Linked DNA regions of Oreochromis niloticus. The protein of the gene in region 2 purifies or fractionates together with the protein of the main gene of each other region. This does not show direct contact. Links are inferred from orthologs where the notes say so. Each region holds a gene or a part of one and is shown on either strand. Other genes may lie near its edges.

Region 1 (7,843 bases), on a different chromosome or scaffold from region 2:
ATCAAGTAAACCAATTAATGCAGTGGCAAACTGATTTTTATGAGGGTATGTGGGGGGAGAAAGTTTGTTACGGTGGTCTTCTTTGCCCAGGCTGCACCACAGTGCTGGATCTCCTTTGTAAAAGGCTTCCTTTAAAATGTTTTTACCGTATATGTAGAAGTATACCATTTTGAGCTAAAATGGCCTCTTGGTATCAAGCCAGTTTGGACTCTTAGAGTTATACTTCATCTGAACATAATTAAGGTCTTTCCTTTATTTATTTATTTTCAAATAAGCCTTCTACAGAGCAGCGAATCTTTGAGCAGCACAATAACGTATTGCGCAATATATTTGAAATTTATATTTTTCCCACTGACAAGCAAATGTAAACACATTCATTTTAGAATGAGCAAATAAAGAAAATCTTTGACTTCAACTGCTTTGGTGTTTGATGATTAAATTGCTGACTGTATGCTGGGAAGCCGTGAGAAAGGGGATTTTATATAAAGGCAATCTTTGTATCGTCTGTGTTTTTTAAGCAGAGATGTTAAAGATACGAGATTATCTCAGTGATGTCACAAGCAGAAATCTTCTCACATTGCACCACGTTTCTAGCTCAAGTTTAGGTAGGGCTCTCAGGACAGACTGTTTCAAATAGTCAAAATAAAAAGTGTTAGTGTCCATTCAGAGTAACGTGACAAGGACACAGCTGCTGATCAGACAACAGTTCTAAAATTTCCACAGACTTCATTTGAGGCAATAACCATTCTTCGGGCGGCATGTTGTTTTACTGGAGAGGAGCAGCAGCTCGCCTACCCTGCATCAGTTTTCTGGATTTTTCCATCAGTCGCCCTGTCTTACGTTATGTTCTGCTGTGGCGACAAAGAGCCTGCAAAGACTAACATTAAGCAACAGCACTTGGTCTGAGTCTCATCAATAAGCAACATGTCCAGTGTACTGAATGCCGATAAAGAAATTGACCTCATACTAAATGAGATCTTAGGAAACGTAAACTATGGCGCAACCCGGGCGCCTCAAACCACAGGGTGAAACCATAAAGATCTGTATTACTGACATTTGCACTGTTTGTTCTGGTTCTTCAGCCTTGTGTCTCCCCTCAAAGTGTTTGTGCACTGAGCACAAAGTGTCCATCCCTCATTAGCAGCATCTTGTCTTGTGTCTTTGATATCTGATGGATTTGGTTTTAGATGTAACTCGTGCATGTGTGTGTGCATTTGTGTGTCTGTACACAATGTTCCTTCTATTCACAGTTCCCCCGCTGGCAAAGCCTGACGGTGTTCACCAATCTGAGACCCCTTCACGTACAGCCCAGTTTCAATTTTTAAACCAAAACAAGGTGATTTAAACTAGTCAAACAGAACCTATATTTACAATTAGATTAACATATGATTTAAACAGGGTAAAACAAGTAGGTGAATGCAGACATACATTAGCATCATTTCAAGTAAATGTTGTGTGTTCTATCAATTTGACCCTTTTAGCTTTTGCTTTTTCTTTATGATAAATATCCAACTATTAAACAATGTAAAGAGGAACAGTGTGCAAAGAGTGACAGCACAGAGATGATGGCATGTAGACTAAATGTACAGCTACTTTGCAGAGGAATGCAGGAACAGAGCATATTAAGACAAAGACACACACACACTTCAGCCTATCTGTACGTTCTGCCTCATATCCGTAGTCTGCTGATTAATATGTGAACGTGTGAGTACACAATGTGCATGGCAAACAGACATCCTGAACCAAAGCACTGTTTGACATACGGGATTTTTTTTCCCCTTTCACCCAACAACCCTTTGCAGAGTTTAAAAAGCGACAGGAGTTGACTTTTTGAAAAAGTCAAAAATTAGGTTTGACGTGAAATTTGACACTGCGAATCTTAAAAATAGATTGTTTTTGTTAAAAGGTAACAGAGAACCCCCCTCCCCCCGTTTTCTTTAAATAACATATCATATCCTTCAGTGCTTTTAAAAACAACAACCAGTTTATCTATATTCCGTATCTACCTTGAGGCAGTTTGATTCATCTCTGGGATGTCGCCTCAGCCTCTGTTTTACAGGGCGACTTGCTTGTGCTGCTTGTGCTTCAAATCTAACTACCCATGCAGGGACGCCCGTGTATTTGAAGTTATTCAAGGGGCCACCATCATATCCTGTAATGTTCAAGTGCTCCAGAATAAATGCTCGAGCGCCAGAGTTGCTGGTGTAATTCTCAGAAACAGTTACACAACCTGTAATTTATGTAGGTACACCTAGGCTTACACGTAGTCTAGATATAAACTGTTGTCCTCATCCTTCCTTTCCACAGGGACCCGCAGCTAAGTGCCACATTTACACACACACACATACACACACACATACTTTCACCTATTAACCCCCACCACCCACCACAAACACACGCGCGCGCGCGCGCAGTGCCTTATCAGCCTTTATTTTCCAGCGCACAGTGGGATATAGCTGTAACCTCATGCGTGTGAAAAATTCGGCATCAATTCTGAGATACGTTTTGATTTTTCTCTCTTTTTGTATATGTGTGTGCGTGTGTGTGTGTGTGTGCGTGTGCTTCTAAAAAGCAGTCTTTAAATACAATGAAGCTAAATCTTCACGATGTATCACAAGTGTCAGTTTAACTCAGCCAGGCATGAATATGCCTTAATTAGCTCCTTAATTAAGTCTGTCAGCAGCAGAATAAAGAGGAGTAAATTAAATCACTTACATGTTCTTGTGATCCGATAATAACAATTTCTTCAGCGAGTCGGTCGGTAAATTGGAAAAGCGCGTCTCTTTCACCTAATTCAAGCCCGCCCTTCTCATCTCATATCCATGGTACTAAATGTTCTGCCCATGTGGTTATTAAGCAGCGCTCTTTCAGTCTAGTTATCCCTCCTTCCCTCCCTCTTTACTTTAATCTCCGTCCTCGCCGGTGACGATAAACCTGCCGGTGTAGTAGTAGCCACATGGAGCTCAGACTTCAAAATGACACCGGGGAGGTAGTGAGGCAGAGAAGCACACAGAGAAAGAAAAGAGAGAGAGAGGGGGGGGGGGGGTAGAGTTGTGGGAGGACGTTTAGAGTAAAATTAAGGGCAGGTCTTGGAAAGCAGCCACAAAGTAACACAATGTTCCGGCTGTACTGTAGCTGTACCGCTGCCGCTGCTGATGAGAACACTGTGTTCCAATAGACACCCTGACCTGTAACCCGTTCCGTGCCGAGACAGCCAGGCCGGGAACAGCCTGTACCGCAGCAGGCTGTCCTCCCCGCTCAGCTGACAACACGTATCATCAACAGTACTGTGTAACAGCCCGCCTGCAGACACAGATGAGGATGTGTAATCACCGAAGTAAAAGCACACCTCACTGCCCGATAAGACGCGCGGTGATACGGATTAGCGCACTGTTTCTGTAGACTTACAAAGAAAAGGGGGGGGAAGTAGCGTCTTTGCTTATCGGAGACTTTTATGGCTTAAAGGACAGTTTTCTGTAACTTATTTCAGGGTAAGGACTTCAACAAAAGCGCATGCATGTTATTTTTTACTACTGTTTCTTTTATTAATTCCTGGTGGTATTTTTCCATTTTGGCATTTTTACTGGGCGGAGATCATTTGTCATCTTTTCCCAAACAGTCTGTGTTTACATTATTGTGGTGTTTACGGCTTTGCAGCAAAGTATGAAGATCTTTTACTAGTTGGAAAAAATACCACTCAACCAAGTTAGATATAAAAATAAAGTCAAATATAAAAGATGATTTTCTGTGTATGCTCCTCATGTTACATACTAATTCTCTATTCTCACTGCAAGGTGTTAGCTTTTGTTTTACTAACTTTGCAAGTAAAATCTTGGCGACAGCTGTTTTGCTGTCAAACCAGTAACTTAAGACATTTTCTTTATTTAAATCTTATTAAAGTACAAACACATATTGATGTACTTAGAGTGAAAAGTCCTGTGTTAGGCGTCCATTTAAATGTATAAACACGGTTCAGATGGTGCTGTGTGTGATTCTAGTATTATGGTATTCTAGTAATGTGCATCATATTCTATTAACTCTTGTTTTGCAAGTCAAATTTTGGGAACTATAAGTTCCTATAAATATAGGCTATATGCACTGTGATAAAAAAAATACAAGTCATTATTAAAAGTAGAAGTACTCATTGTGAGGGAACATAAGGGCAGTCCCTGACAAAGTGCTGAATGATAAGTCAATGTAATAAACCAAGAACAGATGGTGAATATGCCTAATCCTGTCTCATCCTATAAATCATTATTAATCATCAATTAATCATTAACCTCCCGATACAATAGTTTTCATATTTTGTCAGTATTTTACTCTGATGTGGATGCTCACTGGAGCACCTGTATGTTAAACCTGTCTAACCCATTACTGTAGTCCAATAATTGCTACTGTATCTGAGTAAATTACAAAATGAAAATTACTTACTGTGAAGTACAGTTCTTCTTAAAGTCTTCAAAGTTTAATTAAAGTAAAAACCTAAAAAAAAATACCCTTGTCTAAGTGTTACTATATGTAATGGGGCACTATAAACACATTATAATTTGGGAGGTGCTTTTTAACCTGGAAATCCACATGAAGAATAAAATAATAAATATTCAAAATTGTAAATGTCTTTTAGTTACTGAAGTCATTTTGATTCATTATGTATTCCATATTAACAGGATTAGAAAAAAGTGTCACATCTAACACACACCTAAAGTGCTCACTGTGAAGCAATATGTTACATAACAAGTTAAAGTAGCCAACCTGCTTCAGGTGAGCATGAAATGCATTGCATTTTATGAAGGATGCTTTGCAAGTCAAATTTTGTTCTGGTCAACAAAGACCGCAGTTATCAGGAAGAGACAGTTTTCACCTGAAATATACAAGAAGTCAAAATAGTAGTGAAGTACTAAACACACACCAAAAGAGATGAACATGAGAGACACAACACCAAGTATTTTAATATAATATTTCAAAATATTATCAGGATGATATATATATATATAAAAACCCAGCAGGAGTTGATTTATGTTGCAATCAAACTTTTCACAGTGGTCATGTTCTTCTCCAAAGGGCATGTGTTTGAGTATATTTTGACCACGACTCCTAAACAGCCTGTAAGGAGGCAGAAAACTCTCATCATGTGGAAACCCCAGACTCACACTCTGCATGCTGACGAAATCTTGTGTTCAAACAGCCCTGCCTTTATCTCCTTTCTAGGCTTTTTATATTCCCTGATTTGATTAAAGCAAGTGTTTGCTTATTATCACATTCATAGTTAATATGTTTTCTCTTTCACATCCCTAAGATGAACCTTTTTTTTTTTACTGACACATTTACTTTGGAGATAAGAGAAGCTAAAATCCATAGCAATAAAATATTTTTATGGCCTTGCTTTTGTGCTTTTGCAGTTGAGGATGTTGGCATTAATATGTCAATAAACAGTGCTGAAAATATGACACGCTTTATGGCTGCTTCTTGTGTCTATGTTTATCACATTTATTGCATTAAAAACTATAAAATATGCCTCGAATTAATGTCATGACTGAATCATTAACGAGAAGTTAACCAAACTTTGTTCATGTCAGACAGCGAGAGGAAAACTTTTCTTTATAGAACCGAGATGCTCAAAGAGCCTCGTCTCTCTAGATGATGAATCCCACCATTATAGGTGGTAAGGATACTGTCTGACCACACTGCTGGCAGACAACAAGCTGCTATTGAGAGGGAACATGATGATCCTGTTAATTATATAGGTGACATAACACAAGTGAACCTGACTCTGCAAACGCAACAGGGATATTGTCAGCTGGGGTGAGTAATCTTCTGAGCATCTGGTTATCGGAAGAAAGTAGCTTTCACACACATGTGTTTTAGAACATGTTATTCACATTTAAAGGAGGAAAAAAACAGCACAGAAACAGAAAGATGTGGTCGTGTGATGTAAAAACACAACCTCACTATGTCTCAGTGCCCGCATGAAACCTTTAAAATAAAAGTACTGATTATTTAAGATAAAACACCATGTCAGGACGGTTAACTCCTGCACAGGCAAAGGTTGGTTTGTTTGTTTTACCAAAATTCGTGAACTGTGGTGTCCTGGTTGCTTTGTCTCTCTTCTTTTTCCCTACACTGTAATGCTTAACTGGAGGTCAAAATGACCTAAACAGGCTTGGGCTGAACTGAGATGCATGAATAGATATGTATAGTGACACATGGCTTGAGATGTTGTTTTCCTTCCTGAAACATCAAGAACATCTTGTTTCTGTTCTGGTGAAAGCACCCAGGCAGGCGAGAGACAAAAAAAGAAGAAGAAGAAAATGAAAATTAGATGGTCAAAGGTTACATCAATGGTCTGTGGCTGTTTTATATAAATATAATGGGGACATAGATGCAGCTGTAACTTATTTTTAGAACTTAGTGGCCTTCTTACTGCTACTTACCTATCACTTTGCATCAGAAAGTCATTTAATCTTTGCTAAAACAAAACAGTAAACAGCAAAGCTGATAGGTGCTTAACAGATTTTGCTAAATACTGTGTAAAGTACAAAAATCTGACAGGCAGTTGCAAGAATCCGTCTGTCTGAATGAGTATCTTGGTGTAACCAGAAGCACGCGGGTGAGTTCATTCAGGGATACGGGCTGCACAGTCATCAGGAAGTGAAACAGAACAGAATGTGCTGTACTAATCTGATTGAAAAACACTGTGCTGAGTGGATGCTTGAAAAAAGAGATGATTCATTTAAATAGCTACAAGGAGAACCCTATGGCAGCGGGGGAATATATGCACGGAAAAACAAAGGCAGCTTAATGCTTCATTTGGTGAAGCAAAAGGCAAATGTGAGGGCGAGGTTAAAGAAGCACTTGCTGTCACACAAACATGCGCTCTGCAGCTACAGGCTGAGCAACATAATGCTCTTTGTTTGTGTTCTAGGCATCCGTGTTATGTACAGGGGAGTAATCTCCCGAGTGATCCCTTTTATCCCTGAACTTTTGCCCCCCCCTCGAAGCAGGAGTTCTTTACTGTTGTGTCTGCCAAGGGCCCCAAATAAATGAATAACAGCAGTACTATTTTCATCATGTCAACACAAACCTTAAAAGGTTGTGTTTTATTGTCAGCATAGTTCAGTTTTGGTGTGTTTTATGTTATGTTTGACATTTATCACTTTGTATAACTGTCCTGAAAGATATTAACTTCTTTTTGTTTTTGAGTTAAAAGAAAAACGGGAGCTTAATAGCTTGTTTGGAGTCCTGGAGAAAATGAAACATTTTTGAAATCATTTCAAATCAGCTGAAGACTTTTTTTTTATATATATACATCAGATCTTTTCTAAGTAGACTACCACAGGAAATATCGAATTTAAATCTCAAACAGAACGCAACTGTAAAGGAGACTTTATTTTATTTTATTTTTTTATGTTAAAAATCCCAAATTGGTTTCTGCATTTCATTTTGTTGATCTCAATGAACAAAGTGATAGAAACACCTATCAGTATTATAAAACCAGCTGCGACATTCAAATTAATCATAACACAGAGTCAAAACTTCCCTTATTTGCTTTATGAAAGGATGTTTCACTGACAGTTAGGACAGAGTGTACTTTTAAGCTATGTGTACCTAATAAAATGGCAGCTGAATATATCTGTTTATGACACATGAGAGATTTCCTCCAATAACAACGCTCTGTGGTCTTTTCTGCATTTTACCTTCATTGAACAAGCTCAGTCTGTGGAGCGGGGGTATCATTACTTTAAACTTTTTTTTTTTAACTGAACTGGGCTCTAATCAGGTCAGGAGGGAAATTATTTAGTGGATGACTAATACTTTACAATAACTTCATGTACAGAAAAAGGGT
Region 2 (7,555 bases):
CACAGAAAACTCTGAATCAAGATGAACAGAATCAACCTAAATCCATCCCTGTGTAAAACAAACTGGCTTTAGTGAACAGTGAATACCTAACCTAGGCAAAGATAAACTAAAGCTAGGCATCTGAGAACTTGCATTTTTCTGCCAAGTCTTTTTGGATATGTGGTATATGTGGTAGTGACCATTGCCAGGTAAATCTCCAGTAAAGTGTAACCAAACTTTTTAACCTTAACTTCTCTAAGCTCCTGCCATAAGAACAGGAGCTTGGTTTGCATGCCACTGCAAAGTGTGGAAGAAAGAGCTCTCAGCCTGACTGGCCAACAAACTCAGAAAGACAAATAAAACAGACGTGGTGAGGTAAAACGTTCACGGAAACATTTATGCAAATAGGAAACCGTTTTCTTAAGTACCTTGGAACCAAACCATGCCAATGCCATCATCTTTAATAATTTAGCCTTGAGCTCAATTTAATACCAGGTCTCTGAACTCCACCCCATATTTAGGTCACTGAATAAGTTATAAGGTCCAAATCCAAATTGCAGTGCCTGTACTGATTCTCCTAAACCTTGACTCTGACATTTACTTTCCATACAATAATAATTAAAAAGACTAAAACTAATAGAAGCTAAACTAAAACTAAACATTTTCAAACAACAAAAACTAAACCAAATCAATAAATCACACTCTGGAAACTTTTTCAAAAGTTATACTATAGCTACCAAGTTAAATAAAAGCAACAAAAACATAGTTACTTTAATCTTTGCAAAAAACTGGCGAAAGCATCCACGGGGGTCAACTTTGAGGCTTTTGGCAAGCTCCAGAATGAACTGCATGACGATGGTCTGATGAGCCACTTGCTCCATCAATGCGTGTTTCTGCACAAGGAAGAAGCATTTTTACAGCTTAATATTTAGATGCAGTATGGTCACGTGCAGAAGGAATTCATGACAAACAAGCTCTGTTTGTATTACTTACCTCCTCAACTTCAAGGTCGATGCACATGATAACCAGGTAGTTGGCAGTCTCTTCGCATACCAGATGAGGATGGTCAGAGAGGTACTTCTGGCTGTCATCCCAACGCCGCAACATGCCTGCAGTAACGAGAGTAATGAAGAAGCATCTCTACTCTCACCAGTACCTTATAACGAGAGTAAATAATGATGCATGCGAGTGCTTACCGAAATGTTTGATCTCTTTCTCATATTTCTCCACAAATGTTTTGTGCTTTTGCTCCTTCTCTTCTTCGGTCTCTTCAGTTTCAGGTTTGACATTAACAATACTCTATGAAAAGAACAGTGGAAGAATGGACTCATTAAAGACAATGTCTCTGAGTTCTACAGAAAGAATGTCATTGCATACAAGTTAGAGATGTTAATATTAATGAACCCATACCTGAAAATTGCAAGAAAAGATTTCATTGTGTTACAAAGTCAAAGACTGACAGTAGATGTAGACTTCTGCATTGAATCTACACTGTAGGTATGTCGTAACAACAACAGTTGTATTGGCTTGTTCAGTACTGTCAATTCCTCCTCTGCATTTCTGGCTACTTTTTTTTTAATACTTGCTGAATCTATCAGGTAATTAACACTACGCACAAGCATGAATGCTGGCGAGAGTATTGGATCCTTGTGGAGGTTGCTTTGTAGGATCTGCAAAGACTCAACACAGAACTCTAAATCAACTGTAAATGTTGAAACAGAAAAGTCGACTCTGTATGTGTGCCCTTTCCTATTTCCCTCAGTCTAACGTCTACTCTTAAGTAACTGGTGATACTTCCAGCTTTGAGCCAAGGATCAGTGCAGGTGATGGCAGCTGAAGCCACATCTGAAGTACCATGTCCTTTCACACATTTTATTCTAAGGCAGGACAGATGGGCACAGTGGTATAGGAGTAGAATGGATGATAAAGCAAGGTGAACAAGGTGTTGAACTTTTGAGGGGATCTAATGGCTCTGTTGTGGGGGACATGTGGTGATCATGTTTTTGGCCAATTTTTCCCTTGGATGTCAGGCTCAAACAAACAATTGCACAAGTTAAAAGAAGAAATACGGAGAAAAGACACAACAGTTTTGTTAGCTTTTGTTTTCCTGAAAATACTTGACAAAAAAAAAAAGAAAAAAAAGAGTGTAATAAATGATGTGCGATGTAAAACCTGTAGTGCTTTTTAAGCTCCACTTACTCTACCTCACCTTGCTGAACCCATCCTTGCTGAGCGTGTCTACATTCCATGGCATCTTCTTCTCCTCCCGTTGGTAGTCTCCCACCTTTCTCTCCCAATCCCGTTCCTCTTTTTTCAGTTTCTTCTCCTCAGCCTGAACTTTGCTCAACTCTGCTTTGGCATCTTCTGACGTTGAAATGGTCAGCTCCTTGATTTTCTTCTGTGTGTCTGCCAGCTTGCGTCTGCACTCGGACAGTCCCTTGTTTAGTTCTTCACCTTTCTTCTGAAATTCCTCCATCCGCTCCACACGAGCCTGAGGTCAAAACATAAAATCTTTACTACTTGTTTTTGTCAAATATGGACTTAGTTGCAAAAAGTTAAACATTCCTATATTTATGTTAAAAGTGAACACAGCACCAAAGTAAACACACGAGGTCAGCTAACAGTTCAAGTCAAATATGCACCACTTTTACTTTATGTGTAGCATCTTAATTGTAATCATGCGTGGCTTATTGGTATACCTGGTGTCTCCATCTGAAGAGGCTGGGTGTGTCGATGTTTGGATGGGTGTCATCCTCATCGTCCGACACCTCAATGTGGTCCCACACGCTGTAATCTATCCTGGACATCCTGACACCAAGACCCCAAAGCTAACACCGTTAGCTTACAATAGGCTTCGGCTACGTTCGTGAGCTATGAGAAGCTAACAAGTTTGATTGAAACGAGGACAGACCGCAAAATCGCCGCACTGCGCAGAAATACGTATTTGTTTCTTTAGAAGAGATTCTTGCTGTGTTAGATGTAGACAAACTCAGATGAACCTCCCTGAAGACAGCGGGCTGGAGAGTGCTACAGAATTCTAGAAAGAATTGGAGCTACAGATTTCCGTTTGACGTCATCACGTCATTGCGTCAACAGGACGACGCCGGAAATCGGAACACAAGAGTGCTGTTCCTTTCCCTTCGACTAGATTAAAATAAAATAAAATAAAATAAAATAAAATAAAATAAAATAAATGACTCACTGTAACTTCTCTTCAAAACATCATCGTTTTAAATTTGTCAGAACAAAAATGAAGTGTAAAGGTAAAGAATAATTTTGTATTTATTTAGTCTTAATATGTTATAATACCTTAAAGTATAGAGACTTAAAGAATTTAATTTAAAAGGACTTCAATTAATGAAAAATAGGAACCCCACATCTTCTTCTGATTGCCACAGAGAACCACCTGTCTCCATCTCATCCTATCCCTAACATCATCATCATCCATCTGTGTGTCCTTCTTCACTACATCTATTAAACTTCTATGTAGTCTTCCTCTTTCCTTCCTGCCCACTAGGTCCATCTTCAGCATTCCGTGTCCTCTATATCATTATTCCTCCTCTAAACATGTCCATCTATTTTCACCTTCATCTATTGTAAGTACTGCAGTTCTGCACATCACCCTCACTCTTGAATATCGTGAAGGTAAACAATCTGGGTAAAAAGTCCACTGCTCATCTCCAACAGGTATAGAGAAACCATCTATACCAGCCACTTTTCACTCTTTATCCTCTCTACACCTACCCTCACTTTCTCCTTACTAATCCCTTGCACTTCCCGATTCACCAACTGTCCTCCTGTCCTTCATGCATCCTCCCTCACCCACTCATTTTTCACATTAATCAGCTCCTCAAAGTACTCCTTCCACCTTCCAAGCCCTCTTTACTCGTTAGTACATTTCTGTCTCTATCCTTAATCACCCTGAACTGCTGCACATCCTTTCAAGGTCGAGGGCTCTGCCTAGCTGATAGAACAAGTCTTTTTCTCCTTTCTCAATGTCCATTCTCACGTGCATCTCACTATAAGCCTTTTCCTTTGCTGTAGACCTTGCTTACCGGTACTCATGTCTACATTCTTTATTTCCCTTACTATCCCACCTTGTCTTTGCTAACTTCTTCCTTTGAATGCTTTCCTGTATTTTTTCATTCCAACACTAAGTATGAAATATATTCTTGTCAGTTTCCCTCACCACTACAGCTGTACTTTCCCAGTCATCTGATGACTCTTCACTATTACCCAGAGCTGGCCTCAACTCTTCCCTGAACTCTGCACAGCATTCTTCCTTCCTCAACCTCCACCATTCAGTGATTATCTCTGCCTTCAACTGCTTCCTCTTTTTGATGTCCAAACTCATCTTACAGACTACCATCTAATACTGCCCAGTTACATTCTCCCCTGAAACCACTGAGCAGGCTCCTGTCTCTTTCAGATTACACCTTCTACATGTTTGTTTGCTCCATTCTTATGCCACCCTCTTCTCGACCCACTACCATCAGTGCTTTCACATTTCTTTCCTTAACCCAAAACCTCTGATCAACTTTTAACCTACATATCCACTGAACGCTGCTTCAGTCACCACTCTCCATCACTTCATCCAACTTAATCCAGGATTCCTCTTTCTTTTCTAACTGGCATCCAACCTGTTGAACATATGAACTGAAAACATTCAACATCGCTAGATCAAAAGATCCAAAGCCTGCTTTTCTTGATTTTTTTCTTTTCTTATTTTGTATATAGCAGTTTGTGTATCTTGCAAAACCACAACTTTGGATATGTCTTTGGCTATACATTCGATTGGTCTGAATGTATAAACCTTTGTCAACACTCTTTACTTTTACATGTATAATTCTATTAAAGCTATAGGTTAAGAGACTAAAGCTTAAAGCCTTAAAAAATAAATTTCTCCACAGTGATTCACTTGCATTTGTACGTCAAGAACAGCAAGCAGACATTAATCACAATTACAGCACAGATGTCATTTCTTAAATTCTAGATATAAGATATAAAGACACCTGCTAAAATGGCTCAAAGGGTGGTGGAAATTATGTGAGAGGCACAGGAGGAAGAATAAGATGAAGAACACACATTTTTGTGCACGAATTGATAACCCATATGAGAAGAAACAGCAGAAGTGTGAAGTAGGTGATTTAATTTTCTCACAATTTTGTACTCATTAAAGTGTTTCACATTTTCCCAGACTACAGCTTTATATGGTTTCTAATTTTTTTTTATAATTCTGTTAGATGAGAATAAAACGAAACTGGTTTCTCAGCAGATCCTCTGTTGCCACAATGATGACTTGGTAAATAAAAGGGAAGCTGAGGAGTGGATGGCAGTATGTGTGTGACTTGAGTTACATGTTTTGAAAGCTGTTTACATTTTACGTCCTAGGTGTATTGTGCAATGTACCATGTGTGGTATGATTATTCTGAATGGTTCCCTGTGTGATCTGACAACACTGTGTGGTTTTGAGAACTTGCAAAACTTGATGTGTTAGTAAGATTTGACAGAAGTTGTGTGAATTTACTTGTTTAGAGTTTTGACAAAAGGGTGCAAGGTTTCAAAGTGTAAAATGAGCCTGAGCAACCGTTTACAGCTGCTCAAGATGGCAATGACTCCCATTAAGAGAATGTGGAGCTGTACCGGGACTTCCAAAGTCATCAGTCAGCCATCATGTACTAAGGAAATCCTTAACAATGTAGTTTGTCTGGGTCTAACAGGTACAACCAGGGTGTCAGTGCTAAAATAATCCAAGGCCTGGATTCACAAATATTCAGACCACGCCTAAAAAATATTAGGCATAAGTTACATCTTCAGAGACATTTAGGTACATTTATCCTATACACTGTGTGCACATTTGCACTTGCACTTTAAAAACAGAGGGTAAAATAAGATGCATAGCTAAAAATAAAAGGTTAAGGGTATATTTAAAATGTTACAGTAAGAGGGAGTCCCGTATAATAATAACCTATACACTCCATAGTGTAGAGTTTTACACGTTCACCCAACAAGCAAAAGGTCCCTGTTTCAACCCATCTGATGTTGTGTCAAGAAGGGCCTGACAAATCAGAAATCTGGTGCTACTCGCTGTAATGACCCCTTGCAAATATGGGGGCAGCTGGGCCACCTTTAAAAGTACACAACAAATTCAAGAACAAACAACCAACTTTAAACCACAAGAATATCCACCACAAACTACACAAGCCGAAAAAATGACCTTTGTTTTGTTCCAGAGAGTCATATGGGGCTCTTCCCATTGTTCGACTTGCACAGGCCCATTCGCTCCAAAAATCAGTGTCCCCACTACTGAGATTACTTCGTAGTCACTAAGCTACTATTAATCAAATAAGTAACATGAGCTTGTTTTTTACTGTAATAGCTTAATAGTGATTTAGGTGTCTTTTTCAAGACCAAACTGAAGGATTTAATTTTACTAAAATTGTTCTTCTTTTTGCTTCTTTCTTTATGAGTTGCTAAAACTATGCCAGTAGAATTCAGCTGAGGGGGTGCACTGACCTTTTTGGATGGGCCTGGACCCCTGGGGCCCATCCATAACACCAGGGACTAAAAGTTTTAAGTCACTGAGGAGGTGTGGCTGACCCAGTTCTGTTGGAAGCATTCCTCTAAAACCGGGATGTGAAACATAAGGCCCGAGGGCCCGAATCGACCCAGCAGAATGGAAGGTGAAAACAACACACCTAGGAATAAAATGTACCCAGGACATTATGTAGTTCTAATTACTCTTATGTAGTCACTAAGGTTGTTTAATTAACTGAAAGCCACAAATCTACCTGAGTATTACTAAATTCACACCTCCACTTTTACCTGCTTCCATCAAGAAAATGTTTGACACATCTTAAATTTTTATGACTTTCTTGTCCTAATCATTGCATGAGTGGTGAATGATGCTCCTAAGTTTAAAAAGTATAACCCAATAGTTTCATTCAAAGTGCAAATATTTTATTTCTTCACCAGAAGGAAAAAAAAAACTGTTAGAGCCTTATCCTTGTGTACCCAGCTAGCATTAAACTTTGTCTTTCTGCCATGTTCTCCTCTACACCCCTAACAGTTTTCCACTGTAGGGTGTTCGCTGTAGGCTGAGATGTATGTTGTATGAATAACAATTTAGTCTCGATTTCCAGGGAAATTCTTATTTAAAAAAATCTTTCTCATTACTAATTAGACTAAAACTCCTTGCCACACACATACTTGAAATTTCATACTAGGCACGAGAAATACATTGGGTGTGGACAGAACGACACCATAATATTTAAATACATTAGACAGCTTGCATTGTTCAGCTTTGCCAGAGAGGTGTGCCATTTAGTCCCAGGGGAATGAGTGTTTATGAGGCAATCTGCAATATCAAAATGTCTGCTGTGAGAAAACCCTATTTAAATTTAACAAACGGATGGTAGCAGACAGACAAATAAATATGCAACAACTCCACTGTCATGTTATACTGATACAATGCAGAATTATCACTTGCGGGAATAGATGCCGCATGGAACTATTCGCTACTTTTGCTCTCTGCGGGTTTTGAGTCTTTGAACCCGGAGCAGCAAATGGAGTTTCC
Region 3 (6,826 bases), on a different chromosome or scaffold from region 2:
CTATCTGCAGCCTTGATAGGAAAAACTCACTTTACACTTCATTTTGTACAAATTTATTCCACGAAACTAATTTCAAAATCATCTTCACACAGAAATTTTTACACAATCATCTCCACCATGATGCCGTTGGTGTAAACATATTTCTATCATTACAACAATTGCCAGCCAAAGTCGGAGACCAGGAATTCCATTTGCGCACAAACACACGCGAGTAATAATATCGTCAAGAACAACAGGACTTTTCAATAGTTCTCAGCGTTTGTTATCTTTGCAATGTCCCACAAAACTATGTCCAAAAATGTAGTTTATGAAACAGTTTTATAAGCAAACCACTAAGAACAGCAAACTACTTTGTCCCAAAACCTCATCCAAGCAAACCTGATGGCCACGAGGGGAAAACTCCCAACTCACTGAAGTGTGACCTAGCAATTCAGCGAAATTTGCCCCCATAACAATTCTGGCAAATTGTAAGTACAACTGAGCGCAGAATATTTTATGAACATGATACAAATTAGTACTAACAGTGCCCTCCATAATGTTTAAGACACAAGTTTTTGAAGTTTTGTCTCTGAACGCTACCCACAATGAATTATAAATCAAACAGTCGAGCCTGAAGTGGAAACATTTTTAATTCAATTTTTTTTAAACAAAAAAATGGCTTCACTCTTGAGTTATCACATTCACAACATTTTCAAAAACTTGACCATTCACTTGAGGTCACCGAGATTTAAATTCGTCCCCCTTTTTCAGAGGTTCAAAATTTTCGAGACAACTAACTGATGAGTAGTTTCCTGGCCAGGTGAGGGCTGCTCCCCTCTTATTTCACGATATTTCATTTCTGAAGTGTTGAATTTGCTTTTCATGGTTTTTCACTGTATGAAAGTTAGGGGAAAAGAGATTTCGCAAGAAAGGGAAGAAAGAGAGGCCATTATTAGGCGTAAAAATTCAAATAAACCTGCCCCTATCGGACATCCAATAATTCCAGACTCTGCTGCTACATGATAACAAATTGCTTATAAAAGCACTCAGGGTAAACATAAGAAACAACAAGCCTAGACATACATGGGATAATAATGGTCGGCAAGACAGAAGCTCCTGCAGATTAATGCACTCCATTATGTGTTTTATCATCTGCATGGCAACAAGAGTGCCTATCAGCTGGTTCCCGATACTCCGGGAGGCGCATATATATATGTATGTGATATGTCTTTGTAACTTTTGAACTAAATATACAGTTTGATATTTACATTTGACAAAGTCTTTTAACTTATTTGAAAATGAGGCTGTAAGAAATATATGTATGCGATTTATTTGCAGAAGGTTTAAATACTCAATTTTCATTCTTACTGAAAATGTTAATTTAACTGTCTTAACTGTATGCACACAAATGATTTTTATACTGATCAATTTTATACCCCACCAGTTCTCAGGTCTATCTGAATATTTAGTGTAGGGGCTGCATGTCGCTGTGCAAACACGGACTTCTAACGAATCAGAAAAGTGGCTGAACATGCAAACAACTGGAGGATCAACTCAACAGGGCTGTGTCTGTCCAAAGCCGTGTTCATTACTAGCAAAGCAAAATAAATGGTATAACATGTAACACAACCATACTGTTTTCTAGTAAACATATTGACTCACCATTATATAATGATCCACCTTCTGCATATTCCATCACAAGGCAAACCTGAGGTGGAAAGAACACCATCAAAAACTCAAAATCAACCAAATAGACCAAATAGTCATTGTGATCCCAGTGAACTTACTGGATTATTGCAAGAGCCATACAGCTTCACAATGTTGGGGTGATTCACACGTGAAAGTTGTCGGAGCTGGAGATGAAAAGGAAAGGTTACACACAGGTAGGCTGTTGAAATAATCTTGAGAATATTTCAGTAACGAAAAAATACCTCAACAATAAAGGCTTTCCTCTCTGATTCACTCTCAATAGTCTTGATTGCAACATCTTTTCCTTTCCACTTGGCTTTGCAGACGACCCCAAAAGCTCCTCTCCCCACCACCTGAGAACAGGTAGTTAGCATCAAAGTTACACTCACTAGGTAAGAGCTTCATCGAGCTGATACTAACTCTTGTCATGCGCTAGTGACAAGGAAAACAGCAAAAATAATCACAAATTACCTCCTCAACTTCAATATCCTCATAATTGATTTCTTCAAAGGGATACCCAGGTGGTGTTTCAAGCATATCCGCTGGTGGTAACGATAGAGACATTACTAGCTTAGGTCAGCTAGTAACTTACTATGAAAACGAGCAAACAACACACAGGTAAAAAGCTCAATATTAATAAATATTAAATAAATCAGCACAGGGATACTTAGATAGGTTTCAAGACATCAATTGCAATTACGCAGTCGTATTTCTTTACCGTAACTGCGTAATTAAGACTGATGCCGTCAGGAGACATGGCTACTCAATAAAACAAACACGTTAAAGCCTTCAAAAATGGCAAATTGTCATTCCTTCGCCAGCTGTCAAGCACCGAAAAACGGATCGGCGTTAGCCTCCTGTCAGTTTCCTTGATGCAGTCAAGGCTAACCGCATAGCATAACTAGCTCAGTTCTGCAACTGCTACGAAAAACTACTGGTGAAAAGAAGTGTTTAAAGTTAGCTTTTTGCATAATTAAAGATCTGGGACGACAGAATAAGACCACACCATTCCTCACCAGAGTCTGACATTGTCACAACACAACCTTAAAAAAGACAAGCAATTCGAGGCCTGTTAAAATAGCAGCTTACGTTAGCTGGCTGGCCCGGTTGCTAGCTACCAGGACTTTCTTAGCTTCAACAATCCAACTCTTCGTAGATGACTTGTCACCACTGCCGGTTATGTGGACATGGGGAGATTTTCTACTATTCATGTAAGAATAAAACTGGAATAACGTCCATTTTTATAAAAACTCTTTTGTCTATCCACTTGACAAACAAGCATAACTTTTTGACAACTTGTGTAGCTGGCTTGCTAGGAATGTATTTTGATTCTTCGCAGGGGAGGGGGGTAGCTCCACCAGGAAGCGTGTGCGTATTGTAATTCTGTCCCCTGAAAACCAAAAAAGGTAGGGAAGCGTAATACATTAGCTTCAGAAAATGAAGCTATTTTTTTTCGTGAATTACTGACACAGTTAGTTCGGATATAACACACAAAGAAAAAGTAAGAAATTTGTGTTTGTGTGGAATATTTCTTTGTTGTAAAGATGTTTCTAGAACAATAAGTCCTAAACTAGGTCTCAGGACAAAGACAGTTGTTTGGTTGTTTAGTTTGTTTGAAAATGGATATTTAAAGGATTATTTCAGTTATATTTTCCGATACTTAATATTGTAAATAAAAATGTTGAAGCAGTAAAAATACTTTTATGCCATTTTACAGATTAGAACTTAAATTTACTTCCAAGATAACATATATTTTGTATTTGTATTTAGTGTAAGGTACCAGCAATCAATCTAAAAAAAAAAAAAGAAGAAGAATCTAAATACGTTTTCATTAAAAATGTGGCTTGCACATGTCATCGATCTTGCATGAAAGCAAAAAATTCTGTTTATCTAAGCAGAATATTGACCCAACATCTGCACAATCTTTTATTTTTAGGGCTGGCAGAATATAAGATTAAATACATCTTATTTTCTTACATTTACCTGCTGTGATCCAGGGCAGCTTTTCTCACTAGTTTGTCCAGTCTCCTTGCATCCTTGTTACTCATGCTGCCTCCCCAGCAGACTGCAGCATAGAACAGCACAATTGCCATCATAGACTGAAAGATCTTTAACATTTTACTTGTGATCAAGAGATTTTAGTTTTCTTAACAAAAAGAGGTAACTTTGCCCCTTTTTGTATAGGTTGGTATTTGGGGACCAGTTTAGATTGTTATCTAGGTATAATCTAGATATTTATATTTTGTTACCATCTCTATGTCCACCCCACAAACTTTCACAGGCTGAAGAGGGGGTCTGGGATTCTTGAGAAATCTACTCTCATTTCCTTTGTCTTATAGTTGTTCAATATGAGGTAGTTTTTGTGACTCCAGTCACTGAAGGCTTTTACAATATTCCTATATTAAGATTCTGGTCTATTCCTGATACATGCTACAATGGCAGTGTTGTCCAAGCATTTCTATTTCTGCTGCATACAATGAAAAGGAATTGAGCCACTCCACTGTCAAGTCCCCGTGCTGCTGATTAATGTCCTAGAAACACAGTTCCCCAACCTGACTAACTGTGGCCTTTCTGTCAGGTAGTTTGCCATCCAGGAAACAAAGGAGGAATCATGGTGAGCTTTTCTTTGAGTATATTTGATTGAATGGTATTGAAACCACTTGAAAAATCAAAGAACAAAACTCTCATATAAGGGCCAGATTCCGCCAGATGAGCTAGGGCTCGGTGACACATGTAAAGGATAGTCTCGGTGTAAAATAATTTGTTCCAAGATCTTCATGATGTGCCATGTAAGGGCCATTGGTCTGTAGTCGTTCAGTTCAGGTGGACACGTTATTTTTGGTATTGACACAGAACAGGATGTTTTCCACCGTGTTGGCACCCACTCCATCTGTAGATTCAGGTTGAAGATCCCGTGGAGAGGTTGACACAGTTGGACACCACAGTCCTTAAGCAGCCTTGGACACAGCAACCTTCCCAGAGCATAGTCTTCCTACTGTAACTCCAATCTCACCCTTGTTTCTGTGACAGACAAGGGTGAAGGCACGGGTGTGACAGGGGAAGTAGCTGCCACATAAGAGATGCAATGAGACAGGGGAGATGTGGTAGAGAAGCACACTTGCAACAAATACTGGTTAAAGAATGGAATACCATCCCACAGCAGTGCGTGACCAAGCTGGTGGCCAGCATGAGGAGGTGCCAGGCTGTTGTAGCTGTATATTGTTCTTCCATTTGCCACTGAGGCTCCTGTTTGTTAAATGAATAAATTATTCAATTGTTAATATGTCTTGTGTCACACTTCAATCATTTAATCCATTACACAACACCAAATCCACATATTCAACTCTGCTGCTCAATTCAAAAATTCAGCTTCGTGGTAAGCATTCCTGTGGTATCTATTTCACAACGCCATATCACCTTGTTCTCAAGTTAATGCATTCACAAGATTTGCGTAAAATTTAACCTCTGACCTTGAGGTCAAGGTCACTGAGAGTCAAACTCGTCCAGGATTTTTAGTAAATGCACCTACGGTATCAATTTGAAGCTTCTGCATTGGCTCATTCTCAAGTTTTCCAGTTGTCCATGCTGCCTGCCCAACCAGGTGCCAACTATAATGAATACAGAATATTTATTCAACATTTTGTTAAATAATCCTGTTTGTTCAGCATATGTAAAGAATCAAACTAGATGGCAAGAAAGTCTTTTTTATTCTTGTAATCATGAATTGTTTTTAATCCGAAAGTAAGATATATTACTATTAGGTCATCAACTGCATGCATAACGCAATATACAATGCATAATATATACAGTTCCTTAACAACCAATGAAAAAAATATATACATTTCTGACTTTTCATTTTACAGTTTTTGAGTTTGTGCTTTCTGTATGTAGTGAATGTCAGTCTTTTTTCTCATTCAGGGGTGGTGCAAGGTCATTGAGTCACAGTGAAAAAAATATCACTTTGGGCCCCACCACTTTAATATCACAAACCATGCAAGCCCTAAAAATACATATTCTGCTTAGATAAATAGAATTTTTGATTTCATGGAGGATTGATGAGATGTGCAAGCCATTTTTTTTTACATTTTAAATTTTTTAATGAAAAGGTTATTAGATTACTTTTTCTTTTTTACACTGATTGGTACCTTACACTTAATACAAATACAAATCACAAATATGTTAACTTTAACATAATTAACAAATTTATTTATAATATTAAGTATTGGAAAATATAACTGAAAGAATCCTTTTCAAACAAAGTATAGCCAACTAAAATCTCTTTGTCCTGAGACTTAGTTGACTCAAATAGGTTTGAACCTGATTCAGCTTACTGAAAGCTCTCACCATGTTCATAGGCAGTGTGCACAATATTCACTTCAATTCAATTCAGTTTGAATTCAGTTTTATCAAATATCACAACAACAGTTGCCCCAAGGCGCTTCATATGCAGAGCTAGAAACACTTCTAAAAAACTGCTCTGTTTGTGGGTTTAATGATAATCTATTATTATTACAATTAGATAAGTTTTGATATAAAAGAACTCACCTACTTCTTCAAATATCAGTGGGGCTTAATGTCAGGGGAGATGGGATTGGGAGAGCCTGAGCCAGAGGTCTGATCTGTTTGCCTAGGAGCAGGTCGTCAGATAAGTGACTTGAGGCCCTTTTACATGGAATGCTGAATTAGAATAGTTGATATGTTGGGCAAATTAACACAAACACTTTGTTTTGTTAGAAGTGAAGTAAGCTAACTAATAAAGTCAAGCAGTTTCATTCATATGGACTTGGCTATGAGTTTAATTTCCACCTGTCTCTCTTTTCCTTTTTGATACTCAGACTTTTCATTTCATGGAGCCCTCTCATCTGTTTGTTTTATGGTCAAGCAGAGTGACCAGTCTGTGTCTTGTGTTGTTGCTGGTCCGTGAGCCAGCCATGGAGGAGAGCAAAGTTATAACATGCACAGAGCTGTAGTGAAACTGAGTGTTAAAAACAATGAAAAGCCTCACTGCAGCCACTGTCTGTGCTTTTGATGCTTTATTTTTTGATCTTTGGTGTTTTTTCACTGTTCCATCTTTCCCAGAGAACTCCATTATTGCTCCTTGTGGCTACTTATCAACCAATCAACATTAGGCAATTGCATACGTCATCCGCTTCCAGCA
Region 4 (7,657 bases), on a different chromosome or scaffold from region 2:
AACACTGTTCTACTGCCACATCAAATCTAATTATACTTTTACAAACTCTTGCTCAGTTCTTGGAAATGCAATCAGATATGACTTTTATTTTTATTACACCCTTTCCTAACTGACTAACAACAGTAGCTCATGTCAACATGAGCATAGAGTTTAAATAATGATACAGACTGAGTTTGCTGACTCTTTCCTTGCCTTCCTCTGTTACGCTACTGTGTATGTTAGTCATGTTTACCATTATACAAATGTTGACAAAATAAATGTTCAACTTTATTAGCAGTAAAAACATTTCTCAGTTGAAGTAATTTACATGAGCTGCAGCACATAGAGGTTAACGCCAGCTAATTCTAGTTAACTTCAGATAGAGTTTGCTGTATAACTGAATATAGAAATCTTCCTCTTTACACTCTATAAACTCAACAGTGAATGACTAAAAATACTTTGTTTAAATGTTCCTTTGAAACAGTAATGTGTACCCAGTAAACACACCACATTACTTAAATTAATAAAGTAGTTTTTTGTGCACTTATATTGAGAGAGAAAGCATACCGATACTTTATACTGGACACAGTTAAAGTGCTGTGACTCACAAGGTGTGTATGGTGGTGTAATATCACCTGGACACTGTGACCAGTGTCCAGCAAACACTTTGAGTGATGCAAATGAAACGCCTCCATGTTTCTGCTGATCTAGCTTATGCTTTTCTGTCTGTATTTGTGGTGTAGGTAAAGGGGGATCCTGCTGCTTTGTGAGGTATCTGTTGTAGTCAAAACCCTTGCAAACAGGTGTGAAGAATTGTTCTATTTTATTCGTTGCATGCATCATTAGGTCTCCATAAATGCTTACTAATTTGTAAATGTGAATAAAGGAATTGGTAAATCTTTAGTAACATTTGCTTGCAAACTGAGACCTGGAAATGAGTGTACAAGTGTGTAAATGACCTGTAGTTAGAGACAAGCATTCTCACAGATATTTACATCTACAGCGGCACAAGTATATCTCTAACTCATGAACTGTCTATTTTTCAGCCATTAATATCTGCACACACATCTGTAGATTTTATTACACTAGGAAATCTGAAAATAGATTGAGGTTTTTACAAATGTACAAATCGGACGACTCTTCCTGTTAAATGATAGTTCTGCCTTACCACCATCATCAGATACTTGCTCATAGGGGATTGTCTGCTCTTTGGGGTTTTCCCTCTATTATGCTGTAGGGTCTTCACCTTACCATACAAATGTGACTAACACCAGAGACATTGTAAGAATGAGATGTGACACTTTAAGAGCAAAGACGCTGATAGAAACAGAACTTCTAGGGGGGAAAAAAGCTTCCTGGAGCAAAGTCGGTAACCTTTGAAGTATTTGTTATCTCTGCATAAAGTTTGTATGTCCCAGTGACCACTGAATTCAAGAGTTAATGTAGATAAATCCTTTAAAATGATGAACCACACAAATATGCTTCTAAAATGGTTTTTAAGGGACAAGATTTGCTTCTTTCTTCCTTCTTCTTTCTGAGTCTGCTGTTTGAGCTCATCACTCAGTACAGCAATATTCTTTTAAGTGACCTTTTTTTTCGTGTGAACACGCTTACCTCTAAGCTGCTGGTTGTCACTTAACAATCTGGTCACCACTTCATTGGCTGCAAGCTCTGGTGGGACCCTGAGGGTCGCTCCACTCTCTTCTCCGGACATCTCCCACTGCATGGGGCCATCGGGTTGTGGCTGCACCATCACTGCAGAAAAACATCAACATTACACCACATATACACACATTTCTTGTTTAATTAAAGCGTTATTAATATTGAACATCAATATGCCGATGACCTTCCCGGCATTCTTCATCACATGACACATGGCAGACCAGGCCTCAGCGCCATTTAGGCGGCCCAGGCTGCAAACTTTCATTTTCACTTTAATACAACGTTTAAATCCAAGTCCAGCTTGTGTGTGTGATGGGTATCTGACCTGACGATAGACGTCTGTGTCATGAGTCACCGATAAAATGCAAGTGATTTTTGAGCTCACGTACAGGAATGGAGGAAAACATTACGTCATCTGCACTACCGAAGCAATGGACTCGACACAAATCTAGATTAATTAAAGTATAAACGCCAGTCGCCAATTTTAGCCAAAAGCACCAGATCGCACCAGCTGTGTTATAGGTAACGTTATAAACTTGTTATTTTCTCCCCCAAAAAAAACAAACAGTATCAAACATGCCCCCCGTACTAAGCCCATCTGATAGGTAATGTAGCTGTATTACTATGGGAAACTTTACTTACCCAATCTCCTTTTTCACTCCAGTCGCGTAGAGTATCAGACAACACAGCTGTCAGTCACATACAAATTGTTAGTAAGGGTATTTAACGTAATTAAACCAGCGTCAGGGAGCTGGCGCTAAACAGCTAGCGACTTAGCTAATGGGCTAGCTAGGATAACAAACCAAAAAGGCAACAAAGTAATCTTAGGCACTTGTTGACTGACATTAAACTAGAACTACATTAACGAGCTGTCTGTCTTCAGAAAGATATTGTACCTGGTTTGTAATATTATTCCAACGGACTGAACGTATTTAACATGGGCTGAGCTATCTGTTAAAGCTGAAGCGAGTGTTGTTAGCTCAGGAAATAAGAGGGAAAATTTCACCCTGAGTTAAGTCTTTCAGGCTGTCAACCCCTAAGTCTTGCTAGTTTGAAATGTTTCACATCCCATTATTTATTAGAATTAATAGAACATCTTCTGAAACTCAACTCAAATGGTGACCCATTTTAACTGAAATGGATTACCCATTATATCTAAAACATTAACATAAACTGGGCTGTTAACTAAAACAAAAATGTGGTTTCTTTTACAAAATGTCAGCATTTTATCTGACAGAAACCATCATGAAATGGATTTAGAACAATAAATTATCCTTTTTATAATTGATTTATTGACTTACATGCTAAAATTGAATGTGTCAGGTCAGTCACGTGGTTTTCTGTGTCAGTCTAGCAATGAGGTGCTGACTTAAAAGTCTCAGACCAATAAAATCAGTCAACTCAAATGTTAAATGTACTGCACTGTCTTGGCACCAGCCTGAAATCACTGTCACTCACTGGCTTAAAGCTTTAAAAGAGCTAACATGCTTAAATCTTAAATGACCAGTTTTATCGATTTTGCTGATTTCATGCCTAAATTACACAGAGACACAATAGTTACAGCCATAGCTGGACTGGCCATCGGGCATACCGGGCATTTGCCCGGTGGGCCGCTGGCGATTTTTTGATTTTATGGGCCGATGGATTTTTTTTTTTATTTTTTTTTTTTAGGAAGGGTATATATAATGAAAGGTGTTGGATTGGCCAATTGGTCATGATCGACTCTGGGCTGGACCAATTACAGCCGAGGAGGCCGGATGCACCCTCCCCCTTGTTTAGCAATCTTATAGACGAACTAAAGAAAATGGAGAACAAAAAAAGGAAAGGAGGTGTTTATGAAAATATCACTAAATCTGTCATTTATTAATTTTAATATTAATTAATGATCATGTCTCACCTCTAGTGTTCTTGATCTTAATTTAAGGTTTCTACCATGTGTTGTAGATAGTTCAGGAGGTTAACTCGACCAAGCAGTCTTTTTGTTTCCGCTATGTACTGTTTAAAATCCAGAATAGGGAGGATGGTGTAGGTTTAAGTTTATTAGATTGATACATATATACCAACAAGGCAGTGTACATCAAAGCAGTTGTTTTCATGCAAAGGCGATTGACAGATCACGTGACTTTCGCGCATTGCATGCCGGGAACTCGTGGCAAAACAATCCAAGTACGCATCAAATGCAAGCTTTTGCAGCACCGCAAAACGTTCATTCTCCGGTTCCAATATCTTCTTGGTTTTTCTTTGCCGCACAAAAAAGGAATGTACAAAACTAAGGAGAACAATGCCGGTCCGTACAAAGACAGACTCGACGAAAAGGCAAAGAAAAGATATGAGGAAAAAATCAAAGGAGTGAAAGGGTCAGACCCTTATGAGCACACAGAGTGGACAAAGGACGTTAGCGTGCTGCCCAACTTTTACCACGCTCAGATTTATAATTATAAGGTTCTTGGAGTGAGTGCATACACTCCTGAAGTTTTTAGTAACTTCAGGTCACTGCAACAAGCTCAGGTACAGTTTACCGACGGATGGGTACAGGACCTTGAAATGCACTGTGTAGAACAAAAGACCATCGTACAAACAAAGGTAAGCTTACCAGTCTCACAAATCGTCTTCATAAATACACAATCGTTAACCGTTTATTAATATAACCTTTGAGCTCAACGGTAATTAATTAGTAGTGGAAATAATTTCTGGTACGCATTACAGAAATGTAGCAGTGACAATAATATTGTATGTTGTAATTGCACTGGACAATTAGTGATACAAAACAACTGTTTTATCCTGTGAATAAAAGTATATGTTTTTGTCATGGTAATAACAGAAGCGAAACGCAATATTGTGTCAGGACAATTCACTATTTATGCACAATAAATAAAGAAGCATAGCGCGACAATTTCTGTTCAGCGCCAGACTTGCTTGTAACCTATATCACCAATTATGTTAAGAAAAATGACGTATTAACTACTACAAAACACTGACCTTTGTGGGAATGCTTGGAGCAGACTAACATGTGAGCTGGAGTGTTCTGAGATGTTATATTTGGTATATCCAGACCATCCGTTGGCTCTTACTTCCTGTGGCGTGTCCAGCGGGGTGGCCTGGGGGGGCACAGGCCACCCCCCCAACCAGACTGGCCACCCCGAAGCCAAAACAATAAAATCCAATGAAATATCAAATGTACGATTATGTTTTTACAGTGAAGCTCAGATATCCGAGTGTAAGAGAATACAGCATCGGCTTCTGCGCTATGAGCATCATGTTAGCAAAGGTAGGAGAACCAAGCACGAAAGACAGCACCACAGAAAACAGTTTTTCGGCGAAAGATTAACAGTTTAACATAGCTGGACTGGCCATCGAGCATGGCGGAGCTTCCACGGCGGCTAGCAGGTGGATGAGGGAAAGGGGAGCCAGGAGGAGGAGAGACCCGAGGCAGCCGCCAGTCCAATTGTCAAGTGAACTGAACTTCAGGTAAGAAGTTATGACCTGGAGTCTATCTGGGTCAGATATAAACCAAGTTTAGGTGGAGTTTATTTTCGTTGTGCTGACTTTTTACAGTCAGTTACAATAACTCTTACTGCGTACTAGCTAGCATGATGGAGTTTCTATACAGCTGGGTGGATGCTGTGATGTTACTGATGGTGAACTTTATTTTATTCATAAGGTTAGTTAGTAGAGTTGCCAACGGCTCCTTAAAAATGAAATGGTCCCTCATTCAGAGACAATATTACAGGTTTTGTATTGAGCTGAGAAGAGACGCAGTTTGTCCCGAACTTCAGCTAGAATGAAAAAGACACAAAGCTGGAGTTATTCTGTGTCTTTGCTGCACAGCTGCCTCCTCTTCTCTCATTCTCTCCCCCTCCCTCTCCTGTTGCTACTTCAATCATGAAACTGATCAATGATCAGCTGATCGGGTTTTCTTTTTTGTTTGTTTATCGCCCACTTTGCGCCAGAAAGAGGAAACCAGTGGATGTCGCGCTAAACAACAGCAGCACGTTTAAGCTTGATCAGCTGTTGTTAGAATTTATTTAATATTAATTTCTAGTATCAGCTGATGTTTGCTGGAGCCACAGCTGTAAAGCTGCTGGTCATGATGTCGGTTTGGATATGTGGTGAGAGGGAAACATGAAGATGAAACCAGGAGATGTCCTTACTGAATCATCAGAGCTGAACAGGTGATGGAGAAACAGGTTTACCTTTTAGGTGACATGGATGAGTTGAAGGGAAGTTATGAACTGTTTCTGAGAGACAAATAACACCAGGATCCTTTTCTACGTAGCTGACAGCTGGTAACTGTGCAGGGGCGGGTCTAGCAAAGTTATGCCAGGGGGCCAGGTAGGGCATTAACAGGGAAAGGGGGGCACAAAGAAATACTTTTCTTACTTATTCTCATTTAAAATATCTAGCTTTTATTAAATAATTATCTGAATCTTGCGAACAAAGTTTTTATCTGACGTAAAATTGATAGAAATCATACATATACCAACAAGACAGTGTACATCACTGTCACAACAGCGTTTGTTTTCATTCAAAGGCTTTAATACCTGGTGGGCCGGTCTGTAGTCAAAATGCCCAATTTTTTGTCCCAGTCCAGCCCTGCAGGTTAATACTGGCAGTGTCACCATGCCAGCTGTATTTCATCATCAGCCAGTGTTGTTCTTTATACATCAGTATTACCAAAGTTTACCATAAGGCGGCATAGAAAGTATTTACTTGCTTTCAGGTTTCATTCAAATGTTAGTCTTTTCATTTGTTACCCCACTTTTTCCCTGTTTCAAAATCAAACACCAGTTTGTAAGAAGATCATCTTCTTTTTTTAATAGGCAGATAAAGTTTTGCATTGGCTAATTTGGCAATTGTATGTTAAAAATGTTTGTATTTTAATATTCAAAAATGTTTTTGCCCAAAACATATGTGCCCTATATGTCAGTAAAAATACTACGCAAATATTGCTGTCCTTGAATGCTGAGTAAACACTGACAAAGCACTGATTGTATCTCTTGTACTTCATCAACGCAGTATCTAAAAACTTTGCACCGTAGTGGTTAAAACCTCATTCTAATAAGAGTCAAAAGCAAATTCAGTTATTAGGTTTACAGGGTTATTGAATGATGGTTAACGGTTGGTAGATTTTTTTTTTTAACATTATCTGCCAATTACATCTGCCACCCTTCTCCAAATCTGTGCCCCTACCTGGCCCCCCCAACAAAAATTTTCTAGACACGCCACTGCTTACTTCGGAAACATGGCTTAAAAAATTTCTCTTCAACGACATCCGATAAAAAAAACCCCGATCTCTTTACCCGTCGGCTTCCCTTGGCTGTCATGCGACCGGTTATTGCAGTTAATAATACAACAGCTTCTTGCCATTTTTTGGGTTTCTTTTTATCGCTGTGTAACTGAGTTCAATTGAAAGCCTGCGTGCGCTAGTACCTCTTGCCACAAGTTCCCAGAATCCTTTGCGGTTTTACCCCTGAATGACGTCACATTTTCAATCTCTATCCTGGTGGGCCAGTCTCTAGTCAAAATGCCCGGCCGATTTTTTGTCCCAGTCCAGCCCTGGTTACAGCTAAGTGACATAACAGTGCCATATATACAAATATTAACTTTTAATATTGGTACCATTAGTACTAACGGACAATACTTCGATGACGGTGACAAAAACTGGTTAGATATTTGGGGTATATCCTAAATTGAATTATAATCAAACTATTAATATCTTTCTAAAACATACGACTTTGTCACCTTGAAGGACTATAAAAGAAATCAGGACTCACTTGTATCAAGTCAGTAAAAGGCCGTAAAACAAAATACATTTCTTGGTTTCAATTGCATTTGAATAATCCAACAATTCCAAGATGAGGCTTTGGTCACTACTAATATGGTTTTCTTTTTCATAATACAGTGGGTTTATGTTAGGATTTATCCCTTTCCATAATCAGTTTGGATACTATATGCTTCAGTTTTTACATCTATTTATTGAATTTATTGAAAAGGTCTGTGCAATAAAATATAAAAG

What was found.
Region 1: the proteins of hsp90 co-chaperone Cdc37 (region 2) and fkbp5 purify together in Homo sapiens (affinity purification with mass spectrometry; 5 studies listed by BioGRID and IntAct, with this or other methods). This does not show direct contact. The link is inferred for Oreochromis niloticus from reciprocal best matches to the Homo sapiens genes CDC37 and FKBP5.
Region 3: the proteins of hsp90 co-chaperone Cdc37 (region 2) and map3k7 purify together in Homo sapiens (affinity purification with mass spectrometry; 6 studies listed by BioGRID and IntAct, with this or other methods). This does not show direct contact. The link is inferred for Oreochromis niloticus from reciprocal best matches to the Homo sapiens genes CDC37 and MAP3K7.
Region 4: the proteins of hsp90 co-chaperone Cdc37 (region 2) and ikbkg purify together in Homo sapiens (affinity purification with mass spectrometry; 7 studies listed by BioGRID and IntAct, with this or other methods). This does not show direct contact. The link is inferred for Oreochromis niloticus from reciprocal best matches to the Homo sapiens genes CDC37 and IKBKG.

Annotation. Positions count from the first base shown.
Region 1 is NC_031970.2:16,195,738-16,203,580, reverse strand, and holds the start of fkbp5 (peptidyl-prolyl cis-trans isomerase FKBP5), read right to left. Parts: upstream 3,004-7,843; 5' UTR 2,716-3,003; intron 1-2,715. UniProt on the Homo sapiens protein: Immunophilin protein with PPIase and co-chaperone activities. Component of unligated steroid receptors heterocomplexes through interaction with heat-shock protein 90 (HSP90).
Region 2 is NC_031969.2:24,153,391-24,160,945, reverse strand, and holds the start of hsp90 co-chaperone Cdc37, read right to left. Parts: upstream 3,021-7,555; 5' UTR 2,787-3,020; coding exon 2,679-2,786; intron 2,471-2,678; coding exon 2,189-2,470; intron 1,279-2,188; coding exon 1,176-1,278; intron 1,089-1,175; coding exon 973-1,088; intron 873-972; coding exon 750-872; intron 1-749. Other genes in the region: cmc4 (cx9C motif-containing protein 4), read right to left, coding at 7,490-7,555. UniProt on the Homo sapiens protein: Co-chaperone that binds to numerous kinases and promotes their interaction with the Hsp90 complex, resulting in stabilization and promotion of their activity. Inhibits HSP90AA1 ATPase activity.
Region 3 is NC_031980.2:29,212,173-29,218,998, forward strand, and holds the start of map3k7 (mitogen-activated protein kinase kinase kinase 7), read right to left. Parts: upstream 3,020-6,826; 5' UTR 2,758-3,019; intron 2,691-2,757; exon of another isoform or gene 2,387-2,690; intron 2,260-2,386; 5' UTR 2,233-2,259; coding exon 2,140-2,232; intron 2,022-2,139; coding exon 1,911-2,021; intron 1,833-1,910; coding exon 1,767-1,832; intron 1,688-1,766; coding exon 1,642-1,687; intron 1-1,641. UniProt on the Homo sapiens protein: Serine/threonine kinase which acts as an essential component of the MAP kinase signal transduction pathway. Plays an important role in the cascades of cellular responses evoked by changes in the environment.
Region 4 is NC_031984.2:33,182,190-33,189,846, reverse strand, and holds the start of ikbkg (NF-kappa-B essential modulator), read right to left. Parts: upstream 3,011-7,657; 5' UTR 2,943-3,010; intron 2,683-2,942; exon of another isoform or gene 2,331-2,682; 5' UTR 2,284-2,330; intron 1,735-2,283; 5' UTR 1,733-1,734; coding exon 1,594-1,732; intron 1-1,593. UniProt on the Homo sapiens protein: Regulatory subunit of the IKK core complex which phosphorylates inhibitors of NF-kappa-B thus leading to the dissociation of the inhibitor/NF-kappa-B complex and ultimately the degradation of the inhibitor.